Linked DNA regions of Notamacropus eugenii. The protein of the gene in region 4 interacts with the protein of the main gene of each other region in a biochemical or structural test. Links are inferred from orthologs where the notes say so. Each region holds a gene or a part of one and is shown on either strand. Other genes may lie near its edges. The genes, in order: SLC6A1, SNAP23, STXBP5 and STX1A.

Evidence for each region.
Region 1: the proteins of STX1A (region 4) and SLC6A1 form a complex in vitro, tested with the Homo sapiens proteins (2 studies listed by BioGRID). The link is inferred for Notamacropus eugenii from reciprocal best matches to the Homo sapiens genes STX1A and SLC6A1.
Region 2: the proteins of STX1A (region 4) and SNAP23 form a complex in vitro, tested with the Homo sapiens proteins (3 studies listed by BioGRID). The link is inferred for Notamacropus eugenii from reciprocal best matches to the Homo sapiens genes STX1A and SNAP23.
Region 3: the proteins of STX1A (region 4) and STXBP5 form a complex in vitro, tested with the Homo sapiens proteins (2 studies listed by BioGRID). The link is inferred for Notamacropus eugenii from reciprocal best matches to the Homo sapiens genes STX1A and STXBP5.

What each region holds. Positions count from the first base shown.
Region 1 is NC_092874.1:434,075,378-434,083,391, forward strand, and holds the start of SLC6A1 (sodium- and chloride-dependent GABA transporter 1), read right to left. Parts: upstream 3,014-8,014; 5' UTR 2,783-3,013; intron 1-2,782. UniProt on the Homo sapiens protein: Mediates transport of gamma-aminobutyric acid (GABA) together with sodium and chloride and is responsible for the reuptake of GABA from the synapse. The translocation of GABA, however, may also occur in the reverse direction leading to the release of GABA.
Region 2 is NC_092878.1:28,891,728-28,898,958, reverse strand, and holds the start of SNAP23 (synaptosomal-associated protein 23), read right to left. Parts: upstream 3,006-7,231; 5' UTR 2,814-3,005; intron 1-2,813. UniProt on the Homo sapiens protein: Essential component of the high affinity receptor for the general membrane fusion machinery and an important regulator of transport vesicle docking and fusion.
Region 3 is NC_092873.1:238,975,121-238,982,626, forward strand, and holds the start of STXBP5 (syntaxin-binding protein 5), read left to right. Parts: upstream 1-4,492; 5' UTR 4,493-4,888; coding exon 4,889-5,050; intron 5,051-7,458; coding exon 7,459-7,506. UniProt on the Homo sapiens protein: Plays a regulatory role in calcium-dependent exocytosis and neurotransmitter release. Inhibits membrane fusion between transport vesicles and the plasma membrane.
Region 4 is NC_092873.1:50,187,715-50,195,033, forward strand, and holds the start of STX1A (syntaxin-1A), read left to right. Parts: upstream 1-4,301; 5' UTR 4,302-4,349; coding exon 4,350-4,379; intron 4,380-7,319. UniProt on the Homo sapiens protein: Plays an essential role in hormone and neurotransmitter calcium-dependent exocytosis and endocytosis.

The DNA.
Region 1 (8,014 bases), on a different chromosome or scaffold from region 4:
GACGAAGAAGAACCCTTCTTTATGCAATGCCAAATAGATAGGCTGACCTTTGTTCTAGACTAGATTTTATGTTGAACTTGAGACATTTATGAGATCTTTATAAACAGCATCCAAGAATGTTGCTTTAATGCATAAGAATGGACTTCAGGATTAGAAGAGACCTTGGAAATCATCTGGTGCAAGTTCCTTATTATAAAGGGATGGTTCAGAGATGAATACTGACTTGTTCAAGGTCACACCTCTAGTGAGTAGCAGATCAGGTCGTCCAGTTCCTATTCTAGTGCTCTTTCCACTCCTAACAAAACCCTCTGAAAGCACATTCCCTTCATTTTACACCATGAAATTGCTGATATAGGATACCATCAGAGGTAGTTATCAATAGTAATCTGATTTTAGACTCATTTTGAGGAGATATTTGGAGAATTGAGTTTTGTTACAAACATCAATAAGAGACTTACAGTCTCATACATCTTATTGTCAGACAATGACTGAGCACTCACTGTGCCTGGCATTGCATGGTATGTTTCCCTGGAGGTAGAGTTGGAGGACCCCCAGGGGAATTGCTATTTACATTACCTTGATACATTTATTGTTGGATTCTCCTGTTTCCCTTTGTAGACTAGGTTTTTTTTTCCATTGCCCCCTATCAGAATCTAGCAAGCACTCCCTGATGCTTGGGAAACAGCATTTTTTTTCATCCAGATTTGGGGAAGTCCTTGCATCTTGCTAACTATCTGTCCAGCAGGGAGCAGGCAAAGCTCTCAAAATTGTACGATCTACTCCTCTGGGGTGGGGAGAAGTTCTTTTCTCTCCCCTACTTCTTGGGGCTGCTTAGCAGGGTCTTATTTCAATTCACCTGCGAAGCCGCAGCCTGGGCTGCTGTTCCTCTCAGAAACAAGTTGCCCTGTATTCTTTGTCCACACCACTGCCACTGGACCTGCCGTTTGTCCTCGCGCCCACCATGAATTCAGCTCTTGGCTCACAACCTCCCTTTGTTTTCCTCTCACGGTTTTTACATGACTATCGCCTCAACCATTTTTCCGTGTTTGTTACTAGAAATGCCAATACACATGCCCCAATCTTCGACTTCTAAGGTCAAGGTCATCTTACTGCCCCAAATCTGGATAATGCAGGATGGTCAGATTCACATCTGCTTAGGGAAAAACGGGATGGAAATTGACCATTTTCTTGGCTCCCATGGCCTGAGGCAGCAAAGGTTCCCTTCCCCCCCCCGCCCCCTACATTGCCCAGAATAAGAAAATTGTTCTTGTTCTTTGTAGACTCCCCAAGGGATCATTTACCTAAAATTCTCGGCTGACCTCTTTTGTGGGTCTGAGGTCCCCCCTTTCCCCTGTGGCCTTGGGGGGGGGGCGTTCTCCGTCAAATGCTTGAACATTTATTTTTGAAAAAGTTAGCAACAAAAGAAAATGTTTTCAATACATAATTAGTATATACATTTGGATCTCTTCTCTCCCCCAACCTCCTTCATTTCGAAAAAGCAGTGACAGACCAAGAGGGAGATTCAGAACAAGAACCTGCGATTCAGACGTTCACTTACGAAGATTTGCTGCTCTGGAATTCTTCAAGACAAAAGACTCGGAGCTTTCTGGTTTGGAAGCTTAACCAGAGAACAAGACTAGTAAAAGGTTGATCTCCTTATGGGGCAGGACTTTGTAGCGGAGGAAAATAAACCAAAAAACCAGTTTTCATTTCTAATGAAAATGTCGCCAGACCAAAAGCCAGTCCTTGCAATTCCCCTTTGGGCTTGACAGGGGTGCAAAGACAGAGAGGGGGGCGGGAGGTGGTGGCGGCGGAGGCAGCGGTCATACAAGAAAAAGGTTTCTGAGGAAAAATATGCTTTTGGACTTTGTACATCTCCTTCCTTGACCCAAACCTAGAACTCATTTGAAATACCTCAAGACTACTCGTGTGATACAAGTCAGACGCAACTGTTACACACGGAGATGACCCAACAGTAGCCCACAGGTAATACAACAGCTGTACTCCAGAGCATCTGTAACACAAAGCTAACCCATCGGAAAGACCTTCGAACCTCCGTTTGCAAGGACCCCAGAGAGAAAGCTGGGCTTCTTTTGCTTAGCCAACCCGAGTAGGGGTTCAGAGTCTTAGATTCCAGACGACCTCCAGGCTACTAGTCCCCGGAAGAATAACTGGGATGGGGGGGAGGGGGTGTGCTGTAAGGGAAGGGTCGGATCACGGGGATAGTGGGAGGGCAGATTTGGGAGGGAAGGCTTTGGAGGAAATCGTACAGAGCCCAGCTCCAACAGAGTTGGGACTTGGGTTGGGAAGGGGAAGCAGTTAGCCCCCAAATCCTTGGTAGGGTGGAAAATGGAATCAGAAGCCTCGAAGAGATCCAGTCTCTCTCTTCCAGTTGCCGGGGGATCCGGGGGGTGTTGCACGACATTCTTCCCAAATTCTCTAGGAAGGACCCCTGTTCAATTTAGAAGGTTGGTGGGGGAAAATAGGCAGCGGGGCAGACCTTCCCAGTTCCAGTCTCCCAACGCAGTCTCCCTAAACCCCTCGAAGCTTTTCCCTGTTTCTTACCCCTAATTCTTGCACTTCTTCCCCCCCACCCTTGGAGGACACCCCCCCTCCCCCCAATCGAGTTCTTTGGAATAGGAAAACGTAAGGTTCAGCTCCAGAGCGAGGCTGCCCACACTCTCCCGGCAGGACAGAGCTGAGTCCCGGGCAGTCACGCCTACGTTCCCCCGTACCCCCTCCTGGAGCATAGAACCCCAAACTAGACAGCCAGCCTCCCTACCTGCGGCCGGGACCAGGGCCGGGGCCGGGATGGGACCTGGCCGGGCCGGGACTGCGTTCCTGGGACAGCTGGAGGAGGCGCATGGGCCAATTAGGGCTTCGTTCTGTCCGCTCCGCTCTGCTGAGCTGCGCCGCGCTGCCCAGAGCCAGGCAGCACCGTTCTAATCATTCGCTCCTGCTTCACTCTTCTCCTCACTCTTTCGCTCGGTCGCTCTCTCTCTCTCTCTCTCTCTCTCTCTCCCAAGCCGCGCAGCTAGCAGGAGGAGGGGCGCTAGAGCTGAGGCTCACTGCCCAGAGAGGCCAACGGGGGGCGGGGCTGGGCCGTAGTCGGCCAACCCCTTTTCTCCTTTCTCTCCTCCCCTCCCCTCCAGCGCAGTGTTCCTCAGTAGAGCGCTCCCTTCCTCTCTCCCTCTCGGCCTCCCTCCTTTCCTTCCTCCCCTTTTCTTCCTTTTCTCTTCTCTTCTCCCTCCCCCCCCATCTCTCTCTTTCTCTCCATATCTTTCTCTCTCTCTGTCTTCCTTCTTCCTCTCTCTCCTCGCTGTCTCCATCCGCTCGTCCCTCTGTTCTCCCATCGTTCTTTCTCTTTCTTTGCTGCTTTTCTATCGACTTCTCTCTCTCTTCCCATTTCTTTTTCCCACACTTCTCTTTTTTATCCCTTTTCCTTTCTCTTTCTTCTATAATTTTCTCCCTCTTCCTTTTTCATTTCTCCCGATCCTTTTCTCTCTCGTTTCTTCGCTGTTCCCCCCGTTCCCTTTCCCTCCTCTTCCTCTTACACCTGTAATTTTCCTCTCTCTTCATCTCTACTCCCCTTCCATTTTCTATCCGATATTCCCTTTTCGATTCGCTATTCTCCTCTACCTTTCTCCTTTTTCTTCCTTTTCGCTTCCCTCCCACCATTACCTCTTCTATCTTTCTTTCCCCCTCCTCTTCCCTCCCGTTTCTGTGTTTCCCTCTTTCTTATTCCCTCTCCTCTTCCCTCTTACTCAAATCTTTGGCCTCCCTTACCTTCACCTTGCCTAGGGATCTCGCCAGGAGATGTCCAAATACCTGGGCTCTTTATTTCCCTGAAGCTGGTGTCAGGGGCTTTATATTTGAATAGCCAAAAATACCTGGAGGTGGAAGCAAGGGGTAGTGGTGGTGAGAGAAATGAAGAGAAGCATAGTCTAACGTGTATCGTGTATCGGAGTTGGGGAGAGGGAGTCCTGCGGGACCCAGAGAGGTAGCCTTTCTCTCTTGTCTCCAGAGGTAGAAATAATAAAGTGCTAGGACTCGAGGAAGTGGTGCATGTACACGTATTTGTGTCAGACAAATGTCTCAGGCTGGGGGGCTCCTCTTGTTCCAGGGACCCCAATGATTCTGTTCAAGGTCTCAGATTCCCATCCCTTCTAAAGACCACTCTCCAAGACAGATGTTTATTTATTTATTTATTGAGAGAGAGAGAGAGAGAGAGAGAGAGAGAGAGAGAGAGAGAGAGAGAGAGAGAGAGAGAGCTAACTTGTACTCTCCTGGAATGCTTTAACAGCAGCACTGCCTAGAGGCAAGCACCTGAATGAGTCTCTTGGTCCCTTCTAGCCTGCAAATTGTACAGACTGAAGATTGTTCTCCTAGGTTTCCCATCACCCTGAACCAAATGGACAGGACTAAGGCAGAGAGAAGTAATTTCACAGAACAGGGTCAATGTAATGGGCACCCCAAAAAGCCATTTTGCATTACAAATTACAGATGAGTCAGCAGAAGGGGCTGCTTTGTGAGCATTCTGCTTTTGGAGCCCTTGATGCTTAATCTACCCAAAGCAAATCTGTGTCTCATCTTCACCACGTTCTGTTTATTGCCCAGTCCCACCAACTTTTTAGTAGTGCTAGACTCTTGGAAGAATAACCCACCCCTCTTATTTCTTGACCACTTTCTCATTCTACCACTCCCCCTTCAAGTGTTCTTCTGAAGCACTAAGCAAGGTTGGAAAACTTGGCCTCCTATGTTTGTATCTGTCCATCAGATACTTTGACCTTGTGCTACAACACAGGTGTCACCACAAAATAAACACAGAGGTACTTTGGAGAACAGGCTTTTCTGGCAATAAAATATGCACTTTTATTAAAAGTATTAATTTTTATGCATCTCATTTTGAGTACCTCCTCCCCCCACTCCCCAAGCATCTGTCTTCCTCACCTATTGCTGGGTCTGACTAAAGGATCCCAATAACTTTTAAATTTCCCAGATCAACAGTCTCCCATATGAGCTCCAAGGGATCTTGGAGATTGTCTGATCCAACCACCTCCTACCATGCCTTACATAGGAAGCTTCCAAGAAAGAGGCAGTAAACTGGCTCAATACCATACAAGAAACCAAGCAAACAACAAACATTTCTTTGGAGATTACTGTGTGCCAGGCAGTATCTTAGGCTCTGGGGATACAAACAATCCCTATCCTCAAGGAGCTTACGTCTTACGGGTTGGGGAGGTCATAGATATAGCAGACACTCAGATAATTAAATACCAAGCAATACAAAATAAATAGAAAATAACTAGGGAGGGCAACCAGGAAAGGACTCATTCCAAAGGTGCCATTTGAGCTGAACCTTGACAAGGATTAGGTCTTGCAAGAGGAAGAGGTGAGGATGGAGAATATTCCAGGTATGGGGGAGAACCTGTGCAAATGGAGAGGAAGAGGGAGATAGTGCATCATATATAGAGTATAGATCAACAAGATCATTTCAACTTTATTTTTTAATTGGCAGCTAGGTGGTGCAGTAGATATAACATTGATCCTGGAGTCAAGAAGACCCGAGTTTAAATCCAGCCTCAGACACTTACTAGTTGTGTGACCTTGGCCAAGTCAAGTCATCTGCTATGTGTCTCAGTTTCCTCAACTGGAGTTTGGGACAGTAATAGCACTCATCTTTCAAAGTTGTTGTGAGGATCAAATGAGATAATATTTACCAAATGCTTAGAACATAGTAAGAACTATATAAATGTTAGCTAGTATTGATTACATTTTTTCAGTGAACAAACATCCTTTCCCCCAAAGAAAAACAACTCTTCTAGCAAATACTTGTATTGACTTATGATGGGTGATGTGTATTATTACCCTGGAAAGAAAGACTAGGCCAGATTGTGAAGGGCTTTAAATGTCCAACAGAAGAGTTTTATATTTTAACAGAGGCAGTTGGGAGCCATCGAAGTTTCCAGAGGAGGAGAATGACATGTTGGCTTCTGCTTTAGCAATATCAGTTGCCCCTGCCCCACACTGCACAATGTTAGAGGCCACCGTGTCCCTTGATCCCTCCTCTTACTCCTAACACTCTGATAATTGTTTCTTCTGATCTAACAAATTCCCAGGCACTATCCCTCTAATCCTTACAATTCAGACTCACTAGCTTTTAAGGCAAACAAAGTAAAACAAAGCAAAAAACTTCTTTTCCTCTGTGACCTCTACCCAAGCCCTCATTCCTATTTAGTAGCCCCAACATTCTCAGTCCCTATTCTCTTTTGCTTTCCCCTTCTACTATGACTTCTGAGTCATCTTCTTTATAATTAAGAAACTTTCCTTCATCTTGAATCTCCTTCTTTTCCACTATTTCCATCCAGTGTTCACAAAAACCTGACTTTCTCGAGAAGACCTTACCCCTTGCCAATCACTTGGGCATTTCTCTCATGCCAGTAGAAGCTGGCTTCCCTCACTCTAGTGGACCACTAGAGTATTCTACTTCTACAACCTCCTTGATACCATCTCTCAGCAATTTCTCCTTCATTCGGGTTCATTCTGGTTCATTCTATCCATCAGGAAACTCTGCTTAGACTATTGTTACTGTCACCTACTAGCTTCCACCTCCCTCTTTCTCTTCTTGTATTATACTTGTCTTACAGTCTTCTCCCAAACTGAACCCTCATCTTTGTCCATTTAGTTATTGATTCTGATGACCCTTCAAACACTCTGACCTCCCAGGTCTCTAACCTTCTCCTCTGTGTTCAGCCTCCCGTGGGAGTGGTCACAATCTTGAACCCTGAAATTCCCTTCTCTGAGTCTAAACTGCTGCACTTCTTTCTCTCTCTCTGAAACTTCTTCATCATTCCTATGACTTTAGGTTCTTGGGGTTCTGGTCCATCAACATTGGTCTGGTTTCATTTTCCTCCCTTTTGTAGTCTTGACGGCATTATTAACCAATTCAGTTTTACTTTACATATATGTCCCTTGTTTTTTCACCCTGTCATTCATGCCTTACAACTTTTCAACTTCATATTGGGTCTTTTAACTCCATCTACCTTCTCCACTCCTACTCCCATGATGCTAAACACTGCTGGAGGAAATCATACAACTGCAACACATTCATTCTAAAACCATGTTCGCTTAATACCACTGGATCTTTATTGCTGTGTGGCAAATACTTTAGCTGAATCTGATCGATTCTTTATCAAACACCTCTCAGGGATTCTGCCAAATCTTTTTTTCTTATAGACCCAATGCCAGCCCCATTCCTATCATTTAGTAAAGGATCTAATCTTCTTTAGTGAAAAAAAATTGAACTCAACTATGGCAAATTCTCTCATTTCCCTTAACCATTCAGTCAGTCAGGTACCAAGCATTTAGTGAGCACTTTCTGTATATCTGTCACTGCACCATAATGTCTCTATCTTCACCAACCTATGGCTTGCTTGAGCCTCAGGGAAGAAGGTGACCCTGTCTTTGCCAAGACTAACCCCTATACTTGTAGTCTGGATTCTATCCCTTTCTGTCTCCTCTAGGCTATTGTTCTATTGATAATCTCCCCCATTCTACCTTATCTTCAAATGATCCCTATCTTCTAGCTCTTTCCTAATTGCCTTCTGGCTCTGTTTCCTTTTCCTTTCCTTTCCTTTCCTTTCCTTTCCTTTCCTTTCCTTTCCTTTCCTTTCCTTTCCTTTCCTTTCCTTTCCTTTCCTTTCCTTTCCTTTCCTTCCTTTCCTTTCCTTCCCTTCCCTTCCCTTCCCTTCCCTTCCCTTCCCTTCCCTTCCTTCCCTTCCCTTCCCTTCCCTTCCCTTTCCTTTCCTTTCCTTTCCTTTCCTTTCCTTTCCTTTCCTTTCCTTTCCTTTCCTTTCCTTTCCTTTCCTTTCCTTTCCTTTCCTTTCCCTTTCCTTTCCTTTCCCTTTAAACCTACAGCACTCTGAAACTCGGACGCCAATGGGCCCCTGTCCAAGGGCTCTTCTGGACCCTCCTAGCTTTAGAGTGTTTATCAATAGTAACTGTTGCTGTTTCC
Region 2 (7,231 bases), on a different chromosome or scaffold from region 4:
CGTGCATTTAGCCAGGTCATTTTCTATTCCTAGTATACAAGCCTTCCTCACCTCCACTTTTTAGAATTTTCTTGCTTACAGGTACAATTCAGGTATAGCCTTCCTTGTTCTTCTGGCTTAAAAGTAGTTTTCTATTCCTCCTCCAGTAATGCTAGAGTATTTTGCCTGCATCTTTCTTTGCCCTCAATAATTCTCTACCTTGAACTATATTTATCTGCATTTATGTCATATCCTATTCCCCTCAGAATGTAAACTTCTTGAGGGCAGGAACAGTGTCATTTTCATCTCTGTATTTCTGTGTTTTGCACAAAGCAGATGCTTGATAAATGCTGTTGAAGTGTCAATATTTTTTTAAATCAACTTTATGATGAAAACTTTTTGGAAACTATTTTATACAAGTTACAGCCTTCTTAAGCAAAGGACATGAAAAATAATTTAATCTTTATGATTCAGGATTAAATTATAAATTATTATATTCTACAATAATAAATACTGATGTCCTCAGTACCACTGAAGTATATAGGGCTATTTAACCCTATACTAAATGGCCCCATATACTATTACATGCCTTATCTTGCATGTTCCAGTATACTTTTCCTTCCAATACTATCCCTTAGGTATGAACTCCACCTTTCCCCCTCTAATTTACTATGACCTGGGAAACCAAATAGCAATCCATTAAAACTGTGCTGAACAGAATAGCTACTTCTGTTGATGTTTGGTCCTTAAGGGAGTCAATTTGAGCACATGGGATCTGTCACATCATTTTGGCTGCCCAGGCCTTTTTTTTCTTCTTGGTTAAATAGGAGGGGTGTTATTGTTCTTAAGGTAACTGAAATGAAAGAAACAAGAACATTAATATGCTGTAACAGTAGTTATCTACAAAAAGCGGAAAGTCCCACAAATGTTTATGTAAAGCTGCATACCAGGGTCAGGGAAGAAGAAGTGGTACAATATTATCAGGAAGTAAAATAACAAAAGTCACTTTGAATCCAAAAGTACACTGACAAGAATGACAATCATAGGAACCAGCAAGTGACCACATGTCGCAAACTGCTTAAAGAGAACTACTAGAGCTGATAGATGCATACGCTACAGGGCTGTAATTTATGATTACTTTAATTATGTTCTGGTGCTTGGAAAAGGGGCAACTACATTTGTCCTAATATTTGCTGCTTTTTTATATAAAATAAGGATTATAAAGCATATGTAATCCCATATGCTTTGACAGTACTTAATGATGAAGAATATTTCATAAACACTGTACACCTTAGGCAAATTTTTGGCTTAGGTAGTGACAGGACTAGAGAAAATTTTAAATTAATATATTAGGTCATAAAATATAATTGCAATACTAAGACTTCCCAGGAAACTATGGATAATGATACCCAGATTTAAAATTCATTAGGCATTTTCTAGTATGGACCAGAATGGTACATCCTATTTTTACTCCTAGTGTGACAGTAACCACGTCATACTGGATGGGCCTCACCATAGAGGCTAAAGATCAGTTTTAGATACACAGAATGATGTCTCTGTTAATACTTGCAATACCTTATTTCTAAAAAGCTCAAAGTGCATTCATCACATGGCTCCCCACTGCTCAGTAACTACATCCTTCCCCTCCCCCAGTCATTAATTACATCTTGATGAGATGAGGGGCAGAGGGAAAACGACTACTTCTCTATGGACCAACTTGTGTTTTCTTCCAACTTTCTCTAAGAACCACCCTTCCCTTTCCAACTTGTCTATTTAAAAGTTACAGTAACTAATGGCCTTGAAGGGAAGGACCAAGGAGCAAGAAGAGGGAAGGGAAGCTTTAAACATCCTCATCCCACCCCCCATCCCTGAATTTAGGAAGCTATCTCCCACTCTTCTCTCTTTGTAAGATGGCATCAAAGCTATCAGTCTTCTAAGGAGCATTCTCGGGTTTCTCTGGACTCTCTCTTAATCTGAACAAGTGTGGTTCTTAATATCGATATATACTATTGCCTATGAGTGTATCTTCACACTGTTTGTGTATACACACACATACCTACATATACACACACTTAAGAAGGGGGCACACTACTACTGCCCATGAGTGTATCTTCACACTGTGTGTACACACATACACATACCTACATATACACACACTTAACTACATATACACACATACACTCACTGCCTGTGAGTGTATCTTCACACTGTGTGTGTATACACACACATACCCATACACACACACTTAAGAAGGGGGCACACTACTACTGCCCATGAGTGTATCTTCACACTGTGTGTGTATACACACACATACCCATACACACACACTTAAGAAGGGGGCACACTACTACTGCCCATGAGTGTATCTTCACACTGTGTGTGTATACACACACATACCCATACACACACACTTACACACGCTCGCTGCCCAGGAGCGCATCCTTGCACTACAAGGTGGGCACACACATATCCCATCCCCATGCCCACCACACACACACCCCCTTTCCTGCTTCCCTTACCCACTAGAGGGGTTCCCACCGTCACACCCTCCTCCCAGGCCAGGCACAGACGAGGACGGACAGACGCTCCCCGCCCCCGCTACTTCCCTGCCCTCCCCCTCCCCCCCGTGTCTTCCCCTCCCCCCGTATCCTCCCCCTCCCCCCGTGTCTTTCTTCCCCCTCCCCCTCCGCGCCGGCGCCTCTCCCCCTTCATTTTTCTTCGCTCAGCCGCCTCTCCACCATTTTTTTGGAAGTCACGCGCAGCTCCTCCTCGCCCAGAACCTCGCCCGGCAGCTGCCCCGGTCCCGGCCCGGCCCCGGGGCCCTCACAACTCACCCTGAGACTTCGCAGTCCTTCCCCTACCAATCCTCCACAACCCGGACTTGGCCAAAGATAAGAACCAGGGCTGGGTCTCTCTGACGCATGCGTACTCAGAAATCCCCACATTCCCCTACCCTGGCCCCAGCAGGCGCCTGCGCATTTCGCCCAATACGGCCCAGAACACGCCCCTGGAGCTACAAGCCAATCAGCGTACAGGAGAGGGAGGTTTAACCCTTCTTGCTTCGCAGTTGGCCAATTAGTTCTGGGTTGTTTTGGAAGAGGTGGGATTCCCATGCTACTGTAGCTCTGTTTCTTTTTTCCCCAGCGTTTGGTGAAACCAGATGTAGGTGCAACTGAGATCTAAAAAACCACAAATCTAGGTTTGGTAACAATTCGACAAGTATTTAATTAGCGAGCCAGACATTGTGCTGAAGAGATTGAAGATAAAACAAAAACAACCCAGTCCCTGAAGTGAAGGAAATTATGTTGCAACTTGTATACAGAATTGTAAAGTGAGGTGACCTTGAGCTAGGTGACCTCTGAGGACTCTTCTAGCTGCGAATCAATGCTCTTAGGATTCTAAGTAAACACATTACGTATTTTACAATATGATAAATAATGTTGTCATATATATGCTGTGATACAGCATAATATATAACAAGTGATCCGATTAATAATGTAATATGCAAAGCAATTTCCACAATTTCCCACCCCACCCTGCTACATATTTATCACTTCATGCTTGGACTATTGTTTTCTGGTTATCTCCCTGCCTCTAGTCTCTTTGGTGTTACTCCTTACCAAGACTAACCTCTCCACTTGTTCAAGTGATCCCATTCCATCCTATCTCCTTCAACAGACTGCCCCCTTTCTCATCCTCACTCTCTCACTTATTTTCAATTTCATCTTTACTGGCTCTTTGCCTAGAAACATGCCCACGTGTCCCTCACCCAGAAAAATAAACAAAACAAAACTCTCACCTGGGGAATAGTATACATACCCAGTGGGGTATAAAAAATCTATCTTATCCTACAGAGTAGTAGAAGGGAAGGAGATAAGACAAGAAGAGGGGGTGCTGATAGAAGGGAGATTGGATTGAGGGAGGCAGTGGTCAGAAGTAAAACACTTGAGGGTGGGTAAAGTGAAAGGAGAGAGAGAGAGGGTAAATGGGGGAAACGAATAGAAGGAAATACATAGTAATCATAACAGTAAAAAAATTTTTAGAGCAATTTTCTCTGATAAAGAACTCATTTCTCAAATACATAGAGAACTAAGTCAAGTTTATAAGAATACAAAGCATTCCCCAAATGATAAATGGCCAAAGGATATGAACAGGCAGTTTTCAGAGGAAGAAAACAAAGCTATTGGTATTCATATAAAAAAAATGCTCTAAATCACTATTGATTAGAAAAATGTAAATTAAAACAAATCTAAACTAATATGACAGAAAAGGAAAATGACACATTAGATGGGGATGTGGGAAAATTGGGACACTAAATAGCTCTGTTGGTGGAGTTGTGAACTGATCCAACCATTCTGGAGAGTAATTTGGAACTAGGAACAAAGGACTATGAAACAGCATACCTTTGACTCAGCAATACCATTATTAGGTCTGTTTCCCAAAGATATTTTTAAAAAAAATTGCAGTATTTATCTGTTGTTTTTTTTTTTTAAATCAACTTTTATTCTCCTCCTGGCTGTGATTCTAACTTAATAGACTTAAAAACCATGGCCTGACTAAAATCTCACCTTGAATCCTTTCTCAGCAACTGAGGCTTCCTCACCCTAGAATATCCCTCTACCATACCAGTATCTTTCTAATATGTAGCTCCTCCTGCTTCCTCCATTTTGGGGAAGGGCCTAGATCAACTAACCTTCAGTTCCCTCCCAGATGTGCTTCCTAATTTCTAAACTGATTGTGTGTGTGTGTGTGTGCGCGCGTGCACACGCACATAAAAAATATATATGTAATTTTTTGACTAGGTTGAAAAAGCTGTTCTTTTCTTCATTTCTTACCCAGCTTTAATCATTGAATGGACATTGCCTCAGTAAAACTGAGACCTGGGAAAGACTTTAGCTCAAAAAGGCAATTTTTTTGGTGACTTTGCACAGCCCTCTCTCACTTAAATCCAATTCACTTGCAAGTCATGACATCACCTTCCTTAGGTGTGTCTTCTTCAAGAACCAAGGGCAAACAATGAACAAAAATCCTGCCTCTCACAGGAAGCCTTCCCTAAACCCCCTCTTTAATTCCAATGCTTTCCCTCCATCGATTTCTTCCTATTTATCTGTTCATAGCTTGCTTTGTATATATTTGTTTGCATGTCTCCTACATTATATTGTAAGCTCCTTTAGAGTAGTCACTGTCTTTTGCTGCTTTTTGCATCCCCAGAATTTAGCACAGTGCCTGGAACATAGTAGGTGCTTAATAAATGTTTATTGAATTAAATTGGCTCTAATCCATCCTCCACTGAAATGTCAAAGTGATTTTCCTAATGAAGTGCAAGTCTGACCATTTCAAACACAACACCCACTCAAAATAAGCAAATAAACTCCAGTGACTCTCCATTACCTCAAAATATAAAATTTCATGTTTTCCTTTAAGAGGCCTTCATAATATGATCTCTTTCTCCCTTTGTAATGTTCTTACACTTTCCCTTTCATATACTATATGATCCAGCAATACTGACCACTGTTCATCAAACAGGACTCTCCATCTCTGGATTGTGCCTTTTCAGTAGCTGACTTCCCTATCTTTGTAATATTCTCCCTTCTTATCTTCTCCTACTTTCCTTCAAATCTCAGCTCAAATTTCACCCACTGAAGAGGTCTTTCTAGGTGGGCCTTTTGCCTACATACACACTTCCCTCTGAGATTATTTTCCAATCATTCTCTGTGTGTATATGTATATATAATCTATTTATTTTATCTTTTATGTAGTTGTTTTAATGTTATTTCCCCATTAGATGGTCAGCTCCTTGAAGGCAGGTACCAGTATTTGCCTTTCTTTGTATCCCCAGATCTTAACACAGTGCTTCAGAAATGCTTGTTGACTGATTTGCCACAGGAACACTAAGGAGAAAAATCTTATCATTTCAAAATTATAAATATGAATACAATTGCTTTAATATTTGAGAATACACTGTGGGCTAGATGCTGTGTTTATATATTTACACTTTATATCCTATAGGATGGGATCTACATTTTAAGTCACATATACATGTAAGTTAATTGTAGGATTCTTTTCCTACAGGTGACCTTTTAGAAATTTTTAAAAATCTTTTTTAGTTTTTTCTTTACTTTGAGAATAGTCTGAGAATTAAAATTTTCTTATTAGAATCAAATATATAAATATATTTGTAACCTAAGGGCAAAGTAATAGTGACTAAAAATAGAAACTACAACCATCCCTGAGAAAGAGAACTCATTAAATTTTAACATTATTTAATTTGGCAAGCGTCTTGATGCCTACAAAGCAAGGCCACCCTTGAAACTAGAAAATCCTAGATTCAGATCCTGCTTCTTGACACATACTAGTCTCGGGCAAGTAACTCAGCCTCTAAATTACTGCCCAGGGACTTCTCTAAGACTATAAATTGCTTCATTTCCTAATTCACCGTTCACCAGGTCCAACCAGTTTTTGAACCAAAACCCCCTCAACAACATACTTAAGATGTGGTCATCCAGACTTTGTTTGTGTGCCTCAATGTGAGCCAATGATATAACCCTTTCACCTTTTGGTGAAATATCTAATTATTAGGAAATTTTTCCTCATTTCAAGTCTAAATTTGACTCTTTGCAATTCACCTATTGCCTCTAGTTCTTCCCTGTGGCATCAAGTGGAACAAATATAATCTCTCTTCTATATAACAGCCTTCTAGATATCCTTGAAATGAATAACTATCAGGTCATTTCTAAATGTTATCTTCTTCTGACTAATAGTTTCCCAGACCTTTCATACACTGGAGGCTCTTCTCCATACTTATGGCCTCATATTAATTTATCTTTCCTAAAATATGGTGCCCAATTTCAAATGCTGTCTGACCAAGACAGAGTACAATGGAACTACCATATCCCCAGTCTTGAAGACTAATGCCTCTCAATGAATCCCCTGAGATTACATTGGCCTTCCAAAGCAAGATTTCAAAAAAACACTCTTGTCATCCAAATTTGACTGTATTTTACACTACACCTTAAGCCCTAGGTTTTTGTTAGTTTGTTTTGGGGAAAGAATTTAAGAGGTCATGAAAGATTTCAGAATTTAGCAGAATGATATCCCCTGATAAGGTCCCACAAAAATAGAGAAAAAGATCTCTAGTTTGTACAGAGAAAAGTCATTCTGTGGCCCTCCTGTTTTGATGAGAGTTTAATGTTAAGTTGGGCTCCACATTCTGTAAAACGGACAAAGAAGGTGTTTATCCTCTGACAGTACT
Region 3 (7,506 bases), about 190 Mb from region 4:
CATGTATGCTTCTTCCACTGGTACAGATGGCAACTCATCCCTGTCTTCTATATGATTCCTGTAATATTCCAGAGTGAATCAACTCAACTCCCTGGAGGTCTTATTTTTTCATATTTGCATAATCATTTTAATTTTTTAATTTTAACAGTCCAAAAAAAGTCAGGCAGATAACAAATATAGGATATATGCGCACAATTTACAGTGACTTACAGAGATGCAAGAATAGCAAATCTCACAAGAATGTCAAAGTATTTCAACTTTCATGGAGTTGACTATTTAAATATGACTGATGGGTCATAATTTTAAAATTCACATATGTAGGGGTAAAGACAAAAAAACTACACAAACTCATAAGTGATATTAGAATTTTCAGGTCTGAAAAGATTAGTATAAAAATGAGCATAGAAGTAACATAAAGAACAGGCAAGAGGGAATGGGTGGGCAGAAAAAAAAAAGAGTACATTATTTACCCTGGGGTATTTCAGGGCTCATTTTAAAGAGTTTTATACAAAAGTATTTTGGGGGGGGTCTTATTTTAAAAAAGATATTTCATGGATATTGTAGTTATGCTGCTTGTCACCTCTCAATCTTACAACACTACTTTTTGTGGTCATGTATGTCCTTGATCTTCTCTCATGCCACTCAGAATAAATTACTAGTAAAATGCTACAGCTTTTGTATACCATTCCTGCCCCCCCCCCCATATCTTACCAGTGATCTTTGGGTGACTAGAAAGTGATAGTTTTGAGACAGTAGTATTCTTTGATTCACAACCTTATATCCTGAGTATAATTTATAGTTTTAAACAGTTGCCTGAGGCTCAGAGAAATTAAATAACTTGCCATTGGTCTCATAGATAGTATTAAAAATGTTGGGAGTGGTACTTGAACCCTACATCTCTCTTCCTAACTCCAAGTCCAAGGTTTTATCCACTGTTTCATGTTGCTACCAAGAGAATACCTGTATTAAAAAGATAAGTCTTTGCAGCTTTGAGAAGCCTGAGATCACTGAAAGCATTATTCAATTTCCCAAATATAAATCCAGCCCACTCCTGTTTGATTTGGATCCCAACTCAGTGACTTTGATGTGGAGATACACACACACACACACACAGACATGCACACACGCACACATATATTTCTTAACATTCAAAGCTACTATATTGATATAGAGATAAGGATTTTGAAATCTCCATTGGAAAACTATAAGATAAGTTAAACCTCTCTTGGTTAGATTAGGTATATTCTGATTGGAGAAATGGCGTTGTATTATAAAATGTTCACATCCTGAGAATTCTTTCAGCTCTGTAATCCTTAATAAAAGTGAGGTGGTAACTTAAGTATGTCAAGTGACAAAAATGAATATGGGATATATTAACATTTTATTTGAGGTGGGAGGAATAATCTATTAAATTCATTATTTTCTCTTACTTGAGCTAACCCTAGGGAATTATGAAGCAGACAGTTTGCCTTTTATACCTTTCCATTTCTCCTTTTTTTTTATGCTGCTTCCTTAGCTATATGAAGGGCTCCATAGTCTGGACTGATCCCTTCCTTCCTCTATTCCTTCACCCCAAAATATTGTCCATCCTGTGCCCCTTTCCACCTAAGCATAATGATATAGTGGAGAGAGAACTGGATTTGGAGGTAGGAGTTACATTTAAATCTGCCTCTGCTACTTTCTTAATTTTGTGACGTTGGACAGGTCACTTAATTCTCTTATACCCTAGTTTCATTTGTAAAAATGAATTAATAGTAGCTAACATTTATAAACAATTTTAGAATTTGTAGACATAGTCAATGAGCTCCAAGGTCCCTTCTGGCTCGATTCTGTTCTCTTTCTTGACTATTCTTGACTTTTGGACATCATGGGCACAATTGAGACAACATATGGAAAACATGCTGTTTAACAGAAGCATCATAGCATAGTAGGAGTCAGGAATAGATGGAACCAAGTCTCACCCCTTGTCACATCCTAGCTGTGTGACTTCTGCAGGTCACTTTTCTTCTCAATACTTTAGGTCAGTAGTGTGAAACTCAAATAGAAACAAATAGTAATTTGTACAAAAGGATCTTTAGGGGCTAAACATTGACTTGGTTTTGAAATGTACTGCTATCTCCGTTTTATTGTATTTTGATTATATATTTCTGAATTACGTTTTAATTTGGTTTCCATTGACCCATGTTTGCCACCTCTGCTTTAGTTAATTCTCTTGCAGAGAAGATACAGATATACCTTCTTCATTCTCGAATTCTCTATGGAATCATAGGTCCAGTGGCTAGTCTGTCCACATAATTGTTATCTGTATTTTAGGAATACTGTACATGTTCAATAAACATTAAGAAACAAAACAATTCCCTAGATCCTACTTACAGAATATCTTGCCCCCCCCCAATATGAATGAACTACATTTCCCAGAAATCTCTGGGGCCAAATCCAGCAGGCCATGTCAATGAATCCTGAACAGTTATTCCGAGTTAGTGAGAGGAAAAAAATTGTTATAGGGCAGAAGGGGCAGGTAATTTGTTTCTATTCCTTTCCTTAGTTGTCTTTTAGATATTCTAAGCACTTTTGGCTCACAGCCTCCACTTTCCCCTACCAAAACTCCAAATAACCCCCAAATCTTCATATACTTGACTACATTTGATCACCTTATGATCAGTAGTGGCAGTAATAATTCTGAATGCCAGGAGCAGAGGGACATGCATTTCTGTAAATCTCCCCTTCGTTCTCCTTTCTAATTCAATATTTGTCCTTCCTTCCACCTTTCTATTGAATGTAATAACGGAGATAACAGCCCCAATTAATCCACAACCGTCTAAATTAAAATTCTCGTGGCTTGTGTTTCTGAAGGGCTGAGGGACCACTGAGATAGTGGGAAATGGGGCAACGGTTTCAATCAGAACCGCATACCTTCTTCCTCCACCTTCATCCATACTCCCCTCCCTACCTCACCATACAGAATGGAGATGGATGAGAAGGAAATGTAAAAGAAAAAGTTAAAAGGAAGAGCTCCACAACCCAGCATGGCTACCAAAAGAAGTTCAGGATGGATTTTAAGGATTCTATTTAAAAAAAAAAAACTATTGGAGTGGGAGTCTGCCGTCTTCTTAATAAACAAACGTCTGAAAGGAATTACTGAACTGGTTTACCACTGTATAGTGACCGGAACAAGCAAGATGAGAAGCCGATTTACTGCGGAATCCTCAGTCCTACCTGCACCCCTCTGTACTTTGGCTTCCCGGGCACTCAGTTTTTTCACTCGCAAAAGTAAGGGGTTGAGCTAGATGGCCCCTACGATCCTTTCCAGAGTCTAGGCCTAGGATTCTACAAGCTTGGGGATGGAAGCCCTTCTTGGGAACCACAGCTCTCCTTGCTTGGGGTCCTGGAAGATTAGCGGGGGTGGGCTACTTCAATTTGAAGTGTCCTTTCCAGGCCATCCCTGCATTCTACACGTACGAAGACACAAGGAGATAGCTATTCTTTCTCCTTTGGGGAGATTCCGTTGTCCCTTCTTTACGCAACATTAAAGTGGAGCCCCAAAATAGAATTAGGAAAATCCGACAAGCTGTCTGCATCTAACAGACACAAATATAAAATAAAGCCTCTCTCAGCGAAGACCCCCCCTAGTCAAAGGCTTGGTGCTGCGGGACGCAGGAGAGGGCCGCTGGGGACTGGAGGAAGGAGAACTCTGGCCATTGTCTGGGGTTTGGCCCAAGATAAGGTAAGGGAGCTCTCTGAGGGGGCGGGGCAGGCGGTGGGGGCTGCGCATGCTCGGCAGCTCCGCTCCGCGGCCGCCCAGCAGCTGCTGCCGCGGCGGCCGCAGTTAGCTGTGGTGACTGCTCCTCCTCCGGGCGTTGGTGCCCAGTGCGGAGAGTCGCGTAGCTGGCCGGGGCTAGGAGAAGCAGGAAGGCGGCCAGGCGGGGACGGGAGGTGCTTGCCCGTCTGTGGGGCCAGCCAGTTGAGCGAGCAGTGAGGAGGAAGGAAGTGTCAGGATTGGCGATTCGATTCGAGTCGGGTCGGGTCGGAAAGGCAGCGCCGCTGCGAGCGGCCCCGGGTGGGAGGCAGACTCTGACCCTGACACCCGCACCCTCCGAGAGGGAGAAGGAACTGCCGGCGACGCTGCGGGGGCGGGGGCCCGGAGGGCGGGGCGAGGAGGGGGCGGCGCAGCTGCGGCGGCTGCCGGAGTCGGCTGCTGAGCGCGAGCCGCGGGGGGCCGGCGGAGGGGAGCTGAGGCGGGCAGGCGGGGGAAGCGTCATGGACTCGGCGGCGGCTGCTCCGGCAGCGGCCGCGGCGGCCGAGGGGATGGCGACGGGCGGCGGCGCTGTCGGGAGCCGCTCCGCCACTAGGTGAAGGGGCTGGTGGGGCGAGCCTGCGGGCGGGTCGGGCGGGCTCGGCTGTCCCCGGGCGCTGCTGCTGCCGTTGCCGCTGCTGCCTCCCAGCGGAGGGGAGGAGAAGGAGACGGCGGCGGCTGCGGCGCCGGCAGCCGACACACAGCAGTCGGGGAGCCGCTGGAAGGGGCGAGCCGGGCCTCCGTCTGTCCGTCTGGGTGTCTGTCTGGGCGCGGCGGCCGGGCTGCCCTCTCGGGGGTTTCTCGTCGTCGCGGGGTTTCACCCCCTCCTTCCTTCCTCTGCGTCCCCCGCATACCCTCCTTCTCTTCTCCCACCGTTTTCTGGTCTCTGACCATTCTGTCAAAACTGCCGCCGGGGCTCGCCCTCCCCCCGCCCCCGCTCCACGTCCGCGGGGGACGACGCTCGCTGCCCGCCTTCTGAGCCTCTAGCTGGGGGCCGCGGAGGCGCCGGGGGGAGGCCGCGGCCGCCGCTGGAGGAGGAGGAGGAGGAGGAGGAGGAGGAAGGCTGGGCTTTAAAAGGGAGCGCCCGGGGAGACCATGAAGAAATTCAACATCAGGAAGGTGCTGGACGGCCTGACAGCCGGCTCGTCGTCGTTGTCGTCGTCCTCGCAGCAGCAGCAGCAGCAGCAGCAGCCGCCTGGAAGTCGGGAGAACGAAGTGCAGGAGACGCTCCAGTCCGAGCACTTCCAGCTGTGCAAGGTGACTGACCCGAGGGGGCGGCCCGGCCGGCCCGGCGTGTGGGCAGTGCCCCCAAGGGGAGGCTTGGGCACGGGTCTGGCCTTGCGCAGCGGGGAGCCCGAGGACTCCCTTCTCCGGCCGCGCTCCAGAGTTTCCTTGTCTGTCTTTCCCTCCCCTCCCCCCTCTCCTCTTCTTCTCTTCTCCTCGCCCTCTCTCCTCTTCCTCTCTCCTCTCTAGCACTAACTCTCTCTTTCTCGATCTAGCCCTCTTTTTCTTTTTCTCTCGTTCTCTCTGGGTCTCTCTTGCACCCACTTTCCTTTTCTCTCTCGCTTTCTGTCACTCCCTTATTCTCTCAATCTCTTCCACCACTCCCCCCCTCATGTCTTTATGTATCTGTCTATGTATCTTTATGTATCTATGCATCTTTCTATCTAACCGTCTATCCACCTATCTATCTCTGTATTTAATTTATCTAATTGTTCATCTGTCTACTTATCCATATCTAAATTTGTTTTTCTCTACTAATCTATCCATCTCTCTATTCATCTTTCTGTCTAATCACCTCTCTATCTAATCACCCCCCTCCTCTCCCGCTTAGAGGATTCCCTCTCCCTCCTCCCTCCCATATCTATTGGACCCTAGAAAACACTTTGTGATTAAAAGCCTTTTAGGAGACTATTTCCCCCAACTTCTTTACCGAGAACTCTCCCGACCCTTCCTTAATGCAACAGTGATTCCAAGATTGCCTCATTTATAATGCTGACCATTAAGTTGGTATTTGGAAGCAGCAGTTGCAATAACCTGGAATGGTTTTATGTGTATGTGTGTTTGTATTTAAAGCATAATGCATAACCATAAAACCCTTGTGGCCTCCTTTGGAAATAACTTCTAATGAAGATTGGTTAACATACAGCCAGACTTAATTAGCAAATTTGGCATTCACCTGTGCCTTGCATTTTCTTTTTTAAAATGTTCTGCGGATGACTTCTAACTTGAATTTATGGATCCTTTTTGGTGGTGTGGGTGTAAAAAGTTAATATTGGGACTCTTTCCTGTAGTGGTGTCATAATCACACGCCAAAGTCCTTAAGTTCAGGAAGGATGATGCAGCAGATTAGTTCCTTGTTCAATGAGACATGCAAATTAATTTGCATATTGACATTTTTTGTCGTCTGAAATAAACTCATGCCTTCATATAGACAGACTATTTTGAGGATGTACAAATATACCTTTAGCGTTATTACTCTGTCTTTATTATGGACTTAATAAAAGCAACATCATAATTAGATGTACTTGTGTTGAGTTCTGCCATTCCCTTGAAAAATGTTGAAGTAAAAGGTGATTGCTTTGTTTTAGCCCAAGTATGCCTGACACTATTTCTCCAGAAAAGGCATTCTGTATATAGTAGAGTACGCAGTTTTAAAACAATATGGAAGAAAGTTAAATACAGCTTTAAAATAGACTTGTACATAGATTTTGGTAGCCAGTACCTAGATAGTCTAAGGAGAAAAATTGTTGATGATGACTTTCATTTTGCTTTGGAAAAACAGGCTTTCCCCTTAAAAACTCCTGCGGATACTTCTCTTGTCTTTTCTGTAGATTCATCCTTTGCCTTAAACACATTCTAAGTATCATATTTATTTGTCTCTAAGTCTCCCCACCCCCCATTAGCTATTTAGATGGTGGAGTGAGGGAATTGTGTTCTTCTGTGTTTTGTATTCTTAGCACCTAGCACAGTGCTTTGCCTAAGGGAGATACTTAATGTTGGAAATGAATAAGCCTTTTCCACATTAGTCTCACCCATTAATTTGTTTAAAATAAATATTCTCCTGTTAGGGTTTAAGGTTGCAAACTAATAATCACATAGAAACATCATTGTTGAAGGAGTGGTTTGAGATAATACATTTTAAACATTTTCCTAAAATAGAGTAGTAGTGCTTTTTAGAAAACAGGCTCCTGGGAGAGAGAAAAAGTGTCTCTTTTTTCTATTATAGAACTCGATTTGACTAAGAAAGATGGAACTTGTTCTTCAATGTCTCTTTAATAACTTTAATGTCTTCATTTGCAGTTGAGTATTTGATTAGAAGTTTTCAGTCTTCTTTTATATGTGCAAAAGTTGCCCCATGATTTAAATTACAGGCATTTTTTTTTGCCACTCCAAAAAGAAGATATCCAAAGGGAAGATGTTCAAGGGGACAACATTTGAGGCATTACACTGAAATCACAATTTCACATATTGTTGCTTTTTTGCCAGTCTTGAACAACTTCTGTTTCTGAACATGAATAGGTGTTCTGGACAGTAATGTTTGTGTTTTGTTTTTTTTAAATAGATTTCATATCCTCTTCTAATATGTGATAATGAATCCTCCTTCTCCCCCTTTTTTTGTTTGTCCTTTATTGCTGTTGATTTCATCACTTCCTCATCCCAAGACTGTTCGCCATGGATTCCCCTACCAACCCTCAGCCTTGGCTTTTGAT
Region 4 (7,319 bases):
ATGACCACTTGACAGGTATATGGTAGAAAGGATTCTTGTTCAATCCAAACTGAAATACATGACTCCTTCCAGCTTTGAGATGGCATGATTCCACGACTAGGAGAGTGATACCATTGATAGACAAGGAACTCAAGTGAGTGAATGAGCATTTATTAAGCACTTATCATGTGCCAGGCTAAAGAACAGAAATACAATGATAAAAATGAGACAGTCCTTGTCTTTAAAAAACATATTCTAGTAGAAGGAAACAACCCACAGAAGGCATTGGTGACCAGGAAAGGAAGCTTTGACATAAAGAGTGACAGAGAGGATGTGTGGATTGACATGCCATTTCCAGAAGCAGTGATCATGTTGATTTAATTAAGTGCCAAAAGCAAAAGGCAGAAAACTGAGGTGAAGGATGATGTATCTGGATGGCATGGTCTAGTCTGGGGTCTGGTCAGGTCAAGTGGAAAAAACAGAAGACTTAAGTTTTGCTTTTGTTTGAATGCAGTGGGAATGAAAAGAGATGACACATTCAACTTTAGATACCTTGAATTTATGGCAATTATAAGTATCCTGTAGATAACAATACCCCAGAGTAATTGGGCTAACTCCAGAATTGTGAAAAGATGGATGCAGATTTGCCTGTGCCCTCAGTTGCTTGATGGAACAAAGTTTAAAATAGCTTCAGCTTCAGGGCAGAGGGGAGAAGTGGTGGGGTATGAGTACCAGGGACTGGGAAAGGGTAGGCATTAGTGCTTAGGGGTGCAGAACTACTGTCCTTTTCCAGGCTCGGGAATCCCTGGGCTCAGCTCCAGGTTCCCTACAAGGGCCCAAAAGTGAGTGTGGCCAGCTTGCCAGGTGCTTCCCCCACATTGCTGCAAATAACACACCACAGGGAGTTTCTCTCTCAGCACTGGATAACCTTTAGAAGCAGTTTTGTTCCTTTCTCAAAAGATGTTGGTGAACAGAGTACAGACTGGGAAACACATAGACAGAGGGAGTCAAAGATCATGCCTGAAGGGCAGACACTCACAGAGGGTTTTGACATCATCAAAGAGAAGTTCTGGGGAGAACTCACTGCCCCTGTTTCTACCTCCTCCAAGAAACAGAGACCACCTCCTCCAGGAAGTCTTCCTAATTGTACTTGTCACAAACAGGCCACTTTGGAGGACAGCCAGTCCAAGTCACATCTGAAAAGGAGTCCCCTCCACCAAAATACAGGACAAACTGACAGCCAACTTCCTTGAAAATCTCCAGTTTTCATCTCTACCTCCCAGCACTAACCTCTCCCTTCCTCAAACCTTCCCCAGGCAGTCTATTCCACTTTGGGATAAAGTAGTTCTCATTTTTAGGAAGTTCTTCATAACATCAAACCCAAATCTGCCTTTATGCCATCTCCGTCCATTGTTCCTGGTTCCGCCTTCTGGGACAGAACAAAACAAGGCCTACACATGGTAGCCCTTCAAATGATGGGAAGCCGTTATCACACCTCCCCTAAAACTTCTCTTTTACAGACTGTCCCAGTCCCTTCATGTGGCCATGCTGGACACCCTCCTCTGGCCAGTTCCTGCTTTCAAGATCCTTCCTCAAATCTAGCACCTAGAACTGAACACAACACTCCAGACAGCACTTGCCAAGGTAGGAGCACAATGGAACTCTCACCTCTCTGGACATTAGGCCTCTCCTAATGCATCGTTTCCCCAAAATTAAGATAGTATTAGTTTGTATGGCTATCCTATGACCCTGTTAACTAATATTAAGCAGGCTACCTACTAAAACCCTCAGGACCTTTTCAAATAAACAGCCATCTAGACTAGACTAGACTAGACTAGACTAGCCTCCTCCATGTTGAACCTGGAAAACTGATCTTTTGAACCCAAATAGATTTTTTTTTTCATTTATCCCTATTGATTTCATCTCCAATTCCAGCCAGTGGTCTAGTCTCTTCAGACCTTTTTGAGGCCAGGCTCTGTCATTCATTTTGCTAGCTACCCCTCCCAATTGGGTGTTATCCCTAAGTCTGATTAACATACCATCTGTGCCTTTATTCAAGTGAAAATGTTGAATAGCAGAAAATCCAGCAGGGATCCTAGAGGTACTCCACTAGAGACTTTCCTCCAATATGAGATCAATCATAATATGCATTAATTGAATTAATAAGAGTTAATAATAGCTCACATTTAGGAGGTATATTAGGATTTGCAGAACATATTACATGTGCTATCTCACTTGATCCTCATAACAGTGCTGTGAGGAAGCTGTTCTTATTATATCCATTTTTACAGATGAGGAAATTGAGGCTGAAATGTTAGATGACTTGCCCAGAGTTAAACTGGGCAGCCAGGTAGCACAGTGGATAGAGTGCTGAGATTGAAGTCAGGAAGATGAGTTCAAATTTGGCCTCAGACACTGACTAACTATGTGACCCTGGGTAAGTCACTTAACCCTGTCTGACTCAGTTTCTTCTTCTGTAAAATGAGCTGGAGAATGGAAATGGCAGACCTCTCCAGGATCTTTGCCAAGAGAAAAAACAAAACCCTGATGGTGTCATGAAATGACTGAACCACTACAATAACTACACAGCTGGTACGTGTCTGAGGAAGAATTTGAACCCATCCAGGTCTTCATGCCTCCAGACTCAACTCTCTATCCACCGCTCTTTGGACTGGCCACTCAATAAATCCACCTGAATTTCCTATCAGTTAGGCCACATCTAGTCCACAAGGGCATCATGAAAAACCTACATTTCTGTTCCCTCCAATATTGTACACACATTTTGTATAGAATTTTAATCTGTCTAGTTCTAAAGTCTGTCTGTCATTATTGTCTACTCCCATTAAATGGGAGGATCTCCTGAGTAGGGGCCATGTCTTCCTCTGACCAGGAGATTTCACACAGGTACTTTGCGCCCCCTTCTCTCTGTGTACCCTAACAATGCTCAACAGGGAGCTGGGAGGGTAGGGTGGAGAAGACAGAATGACGTGCTGAATTGTTTTTAATGTGCATCTCTACTTAAACAAATGATGAGAAATCTTTGTGTGCCTCATGCCAGGGTTTAGAGGGAGGACAAGCAAGAGTGGGCACAGACCCAAAGCTGCCATCAGCCTTGGCCTCTGGGAGGAAAGCCAGGACCAGACACATGTAGGGATACAGGAAGAGGCAGGGAGCCAAAGCAACACCTTGTCTGCCCAGGGCGAGGGAGGAGACTTGGACAGGGAATAAATGTCATTGGGTCTGCAAAGACTAGGACCAGAGAACAAAGCTAAAAGACTAGAGCCCAACCCACTGGGGAGGGTAAGACTTGAATGAGGAGCACGCCCTGAAAATAGATGGTCTTGACTCCATCCCTTAAGGAGGTTGAGTAGGGACGGGGAAAGTGCTTTTAAAATCACATTTGTTCCACAGTGCCTTAAGTAAAGTACATTTTTCTAGAAATATTAACTGACTGATGGTCAGAGCCCACAATGACTCCCTGGCAGTTCCAAAATGTTCCCAGCACCTGAGGCAGCTTCACCACTGGGATAGGGCCTCTAGACACGTTGCAAATCCAGGACCAGAGTAGCCTGGGGAAGGAAACCTTGTTTCGGAGGGAGGAATGATAAAATGTAAGCCTCAGAAAGGACCTGTAGAGTTCATTGAGAAGACCACTTCATTTTACAGGTAGGGAAACTGAGGCTGGGAGAAGTCCAAGTAATTTGCTCAACGTCATGTAGATTCCAGATCACTGTGAGCCCCAGTTGTCATTCTATGAGAAAGTAGCCCTCTGAACATCTCATCAGTCCAGGACCCTGCCCAATAAAAAGAGGAGGGTGTACCGCATCAAGACTGGGGCCAGGTAGTAGGAAAGGAGGGAAGAGGTGGGGTCCATGGGAGGGGAAGAATTAAAACAGGGGGGAAAGTACAGCAGAGGTCCCCGGGGTGAGGATGGGCAGGGCGAGATAGTCCCAATGGAAGGGGGCTGGGCAGAGAGACTGGACAAGGTAGACTGAACAGGAGATGGGGCGGGGTCGCGACCGGTGAAATAACAGGGTAGGACCACGGCTGAAGCCCCCCGGGCAGGGGCCCAGCGAAGAGAGCACGGGGGCCGGGATTCCTACCTAGGAGCGGAGCCGCTGTAGGAGGGGGCGTGGGCGGGCCCGAGCTCTGGGCTGCTCCCGGGAGGGGCGGGGCCAGGGCGGGGTGCTCGGGGCCTGGGTCCCCGAGAGAGGGTCCCGGGGGCCGGGGCGGGGCCGGGGGAGGTGCTGCGCATCTGCAGGGCCGCCGTCGCGCATGCGAACGAAGCCCAGACGGCTGGAGCTGCCGCCACCGCTGCCTCCACTGCTGCCGCCCTTACTGCCCAAGCTGCCGCCTCCACTCCCGGGAGCATGAAGGACCGAACCCAGGAGCTCCGCACGGTAAGATCGCTCCCCGCGCCCGGATCTCCGCGCCCAGACGGGGCGGAGCAGAGAAGCCCAGACGCCAGGGCTTCGCCCCGGGACACGCCCAGGGCGGGAGCTCTGAGGGCGGGCGCGCCCCCCTACCTTTCCCCGGAGGGGTGGGGGAGTCCCAGGCCAACCCCCATCCCCTGCTGACCTTCCCGAGACTTTGGGCCTCGCTCCCCATTTGCCCTGGGACTGGGAGTGACTGCCTCAACCTCCCTAGAGGCCCAGAGAAACTTTTCTTTTTCCCTTTTATTTTGGGGAGGGAGGATTCTGGGGGTGATACCTAGGGCTTTAGCTCCTAGGCTCCCATGATACCTGGTCTTTTTAGACTCCCTAAAGAGGTGGTGTCTCCGCTGAAATCCTCCAGCCTTCCTCCTCCCTCACTTCCCTGTCGAGTTCAGCTCCCGGAGCTGTCCGAGGTGCTGCCTTCTGAGCCTGGGGGGAAGGGGGCGGGAGTGGGAGAAGGAAGGACCAGACTGAGCTCTTCGGGCCTGGGGGAGGGCGGACAAGATTTATGCGCCCAACCCAGGGCGAGGTCCGGAAATGGGGCTGTCTGGAGAAACAGACTGTCCCTGGATCGAGGAGGCGGGGGCCACCTGGGCTCTCGCATCGGCTTTGGTGTCTTTTGTCATTAGAAAAAAAGAGAAAAAAACCACGGGTGGCTGCAGGCCCCCTCCTTGCAGACACCTTGCTTCTGTTCTCTTAGGCTTGGATTTCACTTGGGCTGAGACACTTGTGGCTGCTGGTTCCCTCCTCCTCACATCCTCTGCTTGCTTTCTGTGAATTGGATTCTCGCCCCCATGCAGTAAAGGGGGACACGTACCTTCCCGTCTTCCCCCTTGGCCACCTCCCACCACTTTGTGCGGGGGCTCCTAGGACCTCCCCCTACTTCTGATTTAGCATTTATATATGGCCTATCCACCCCACCACCCCCTAATTGTCTCCAGTCTCCACGACCTCTTTTCTTCTGAAGTAAAGCCTGGGGTCTTGAGGCTCCTCTTGAGCAGGCCCCATCCTGAGGGGATGGAGGGAAGAGGGAGGGGAAATTCCCTCACTGCTGTCATTAATAGGGGACAGGGAGGACTACCTGACCAATCTTTCCTCCCCAGTTTCCACACACTAAGCCCTTTCATGCCAACATTAGCCTTATTTCAACATCCCTGGACAAATTCATTTATATTTTTTCCAAATTCAATCTGATGTTCAAGCTGTGTTTCTGGGGCTCCAAGGTTTCCCAGTACATTTATCCAAGTCCTGGTAGTGGCATCTTGCCCTACTCCAAGGCATTCTGCTCCCTCTAAACCAGGAGAGGATGGAAAAGAAAGCTTTGTAAATTGGGAAATTTTCCAGAGTGTAAGCCTGTTGTCTTTAGCTTCAACTCCTTAATTCAATTTGGCAAATATTTATGGCATGCCTACTGTGTGCCAGGCCCTAGACCAGGTACTGAGGAAAATAAAAGGATGGATGACTAAGTCAGAGCTTCTGCCTTCAGAGTAACCCTAAATGATCAAAGCTCTGGAGTAGAGGGAGGTACTCACCTAAACCACATTTGAGGAGTTACCACCCCATGCCACCAACTCCCTGTTGTCCAGAGGTGGTGAATTGTACCCCATGTTTTCCCCACCCCCAGCTTCTTGGCCTCTTTGTTAATTCCTTTGAATATTAGTAACCATCCCTCTTTTTTCTGAGAGAAAGAGAGGGAGAGAGAGTGAAAGAGAGAGAGAGAGAGAGAGAGAGGAGAGAAATGGATATACTGAGGGTACAAAGAAATGTGGAAAGGAATGTCTGTTCACATTGTGTTAAATGACTGCCTGAAAACGGGGGCCAAACGGAGCCAGGGCTTCTCTGAATTTGGGACTAGCCCTCAGGGGAGGGAATTCTAGCAAGAAATCCAACTTCAGCTCCAACCCTTTCAACCAAATCCAGAATAATGAAACTTCTCTGTTCAGCTGTTTCTGGCAGTTAGAACTCTGTGCTGAAATATGCTATGGGAACCATCATGTGGATATGCTACTCCTGATCTCCAAGCCCTTGAAGTCATAATTAGGACAGGAAGCCTTCCCCCTTGATTAAGAGTAGTCTCATGTCCAGGAAACCAGCCTACAAGGCATTATTGTGGGGTTAGCCTCAGCTGTTCCTCCCCTACCACCATCCCAGGAGAAAGCTAACAAATCAGTTTCCTCTGGGGCATGTGCCCTGTGGGGAACTCTTCCTTGTGCTCCATAATTGGTTTCTAGCTCTATGGCCCCCATCCCCTTTCTTCCAGAGGCTGGGAATCAAGAACCAAGTTTGAGATATTCAGGTTTCAGTGTTCAAAGAGATTTTATTTGTGCTGATTTGGGAGTCTCCCCCTCCTCCACTCCACCTCCAAGTGTCTCTCTGCTTAATTCCAATTCAGGCCAGAAGGAAGCTCATGGCTAGAAAATTGTATTCTCAACTCTGAAAGACAAGGATTTAGGGACAAGTGGGCCCTGGAGCTCTTTATCCTTCATCTTGACATTGGCTTTGTGACCACTTTCTCACAGAATGAGACTTGGCCCTGTTCGAGTCCTATCCTGAAGGTAAAGCGAGAGAAAAAAAGCCCCCTTATCTGCCCTGTGAACCCAATCTATAGAATAAACTCTAGTCTGGGCCACAGACTCACCATTAACCGTGGGAATAGATTGACCCCCGAACACTGGCCACAGACCTACCTGCTGCCCCCCAAATCTCACAACCCTCCCCGTTGATCATAGGTGAGATTGGGCAAGAGTGTGGATCTTTTCGTGCAGCCTAACACTGCTGCTGAAGAAACAATTTAGGATTCCCATTTGGCTGATGAAGAGGAAGAGGGGGAGTCTGATCAGGAGCCACAGGAAGTTCTCACTTGTCCATGTTTTTATTTTCTTGCTGTGTAATCCTTGGTCTTGTCAA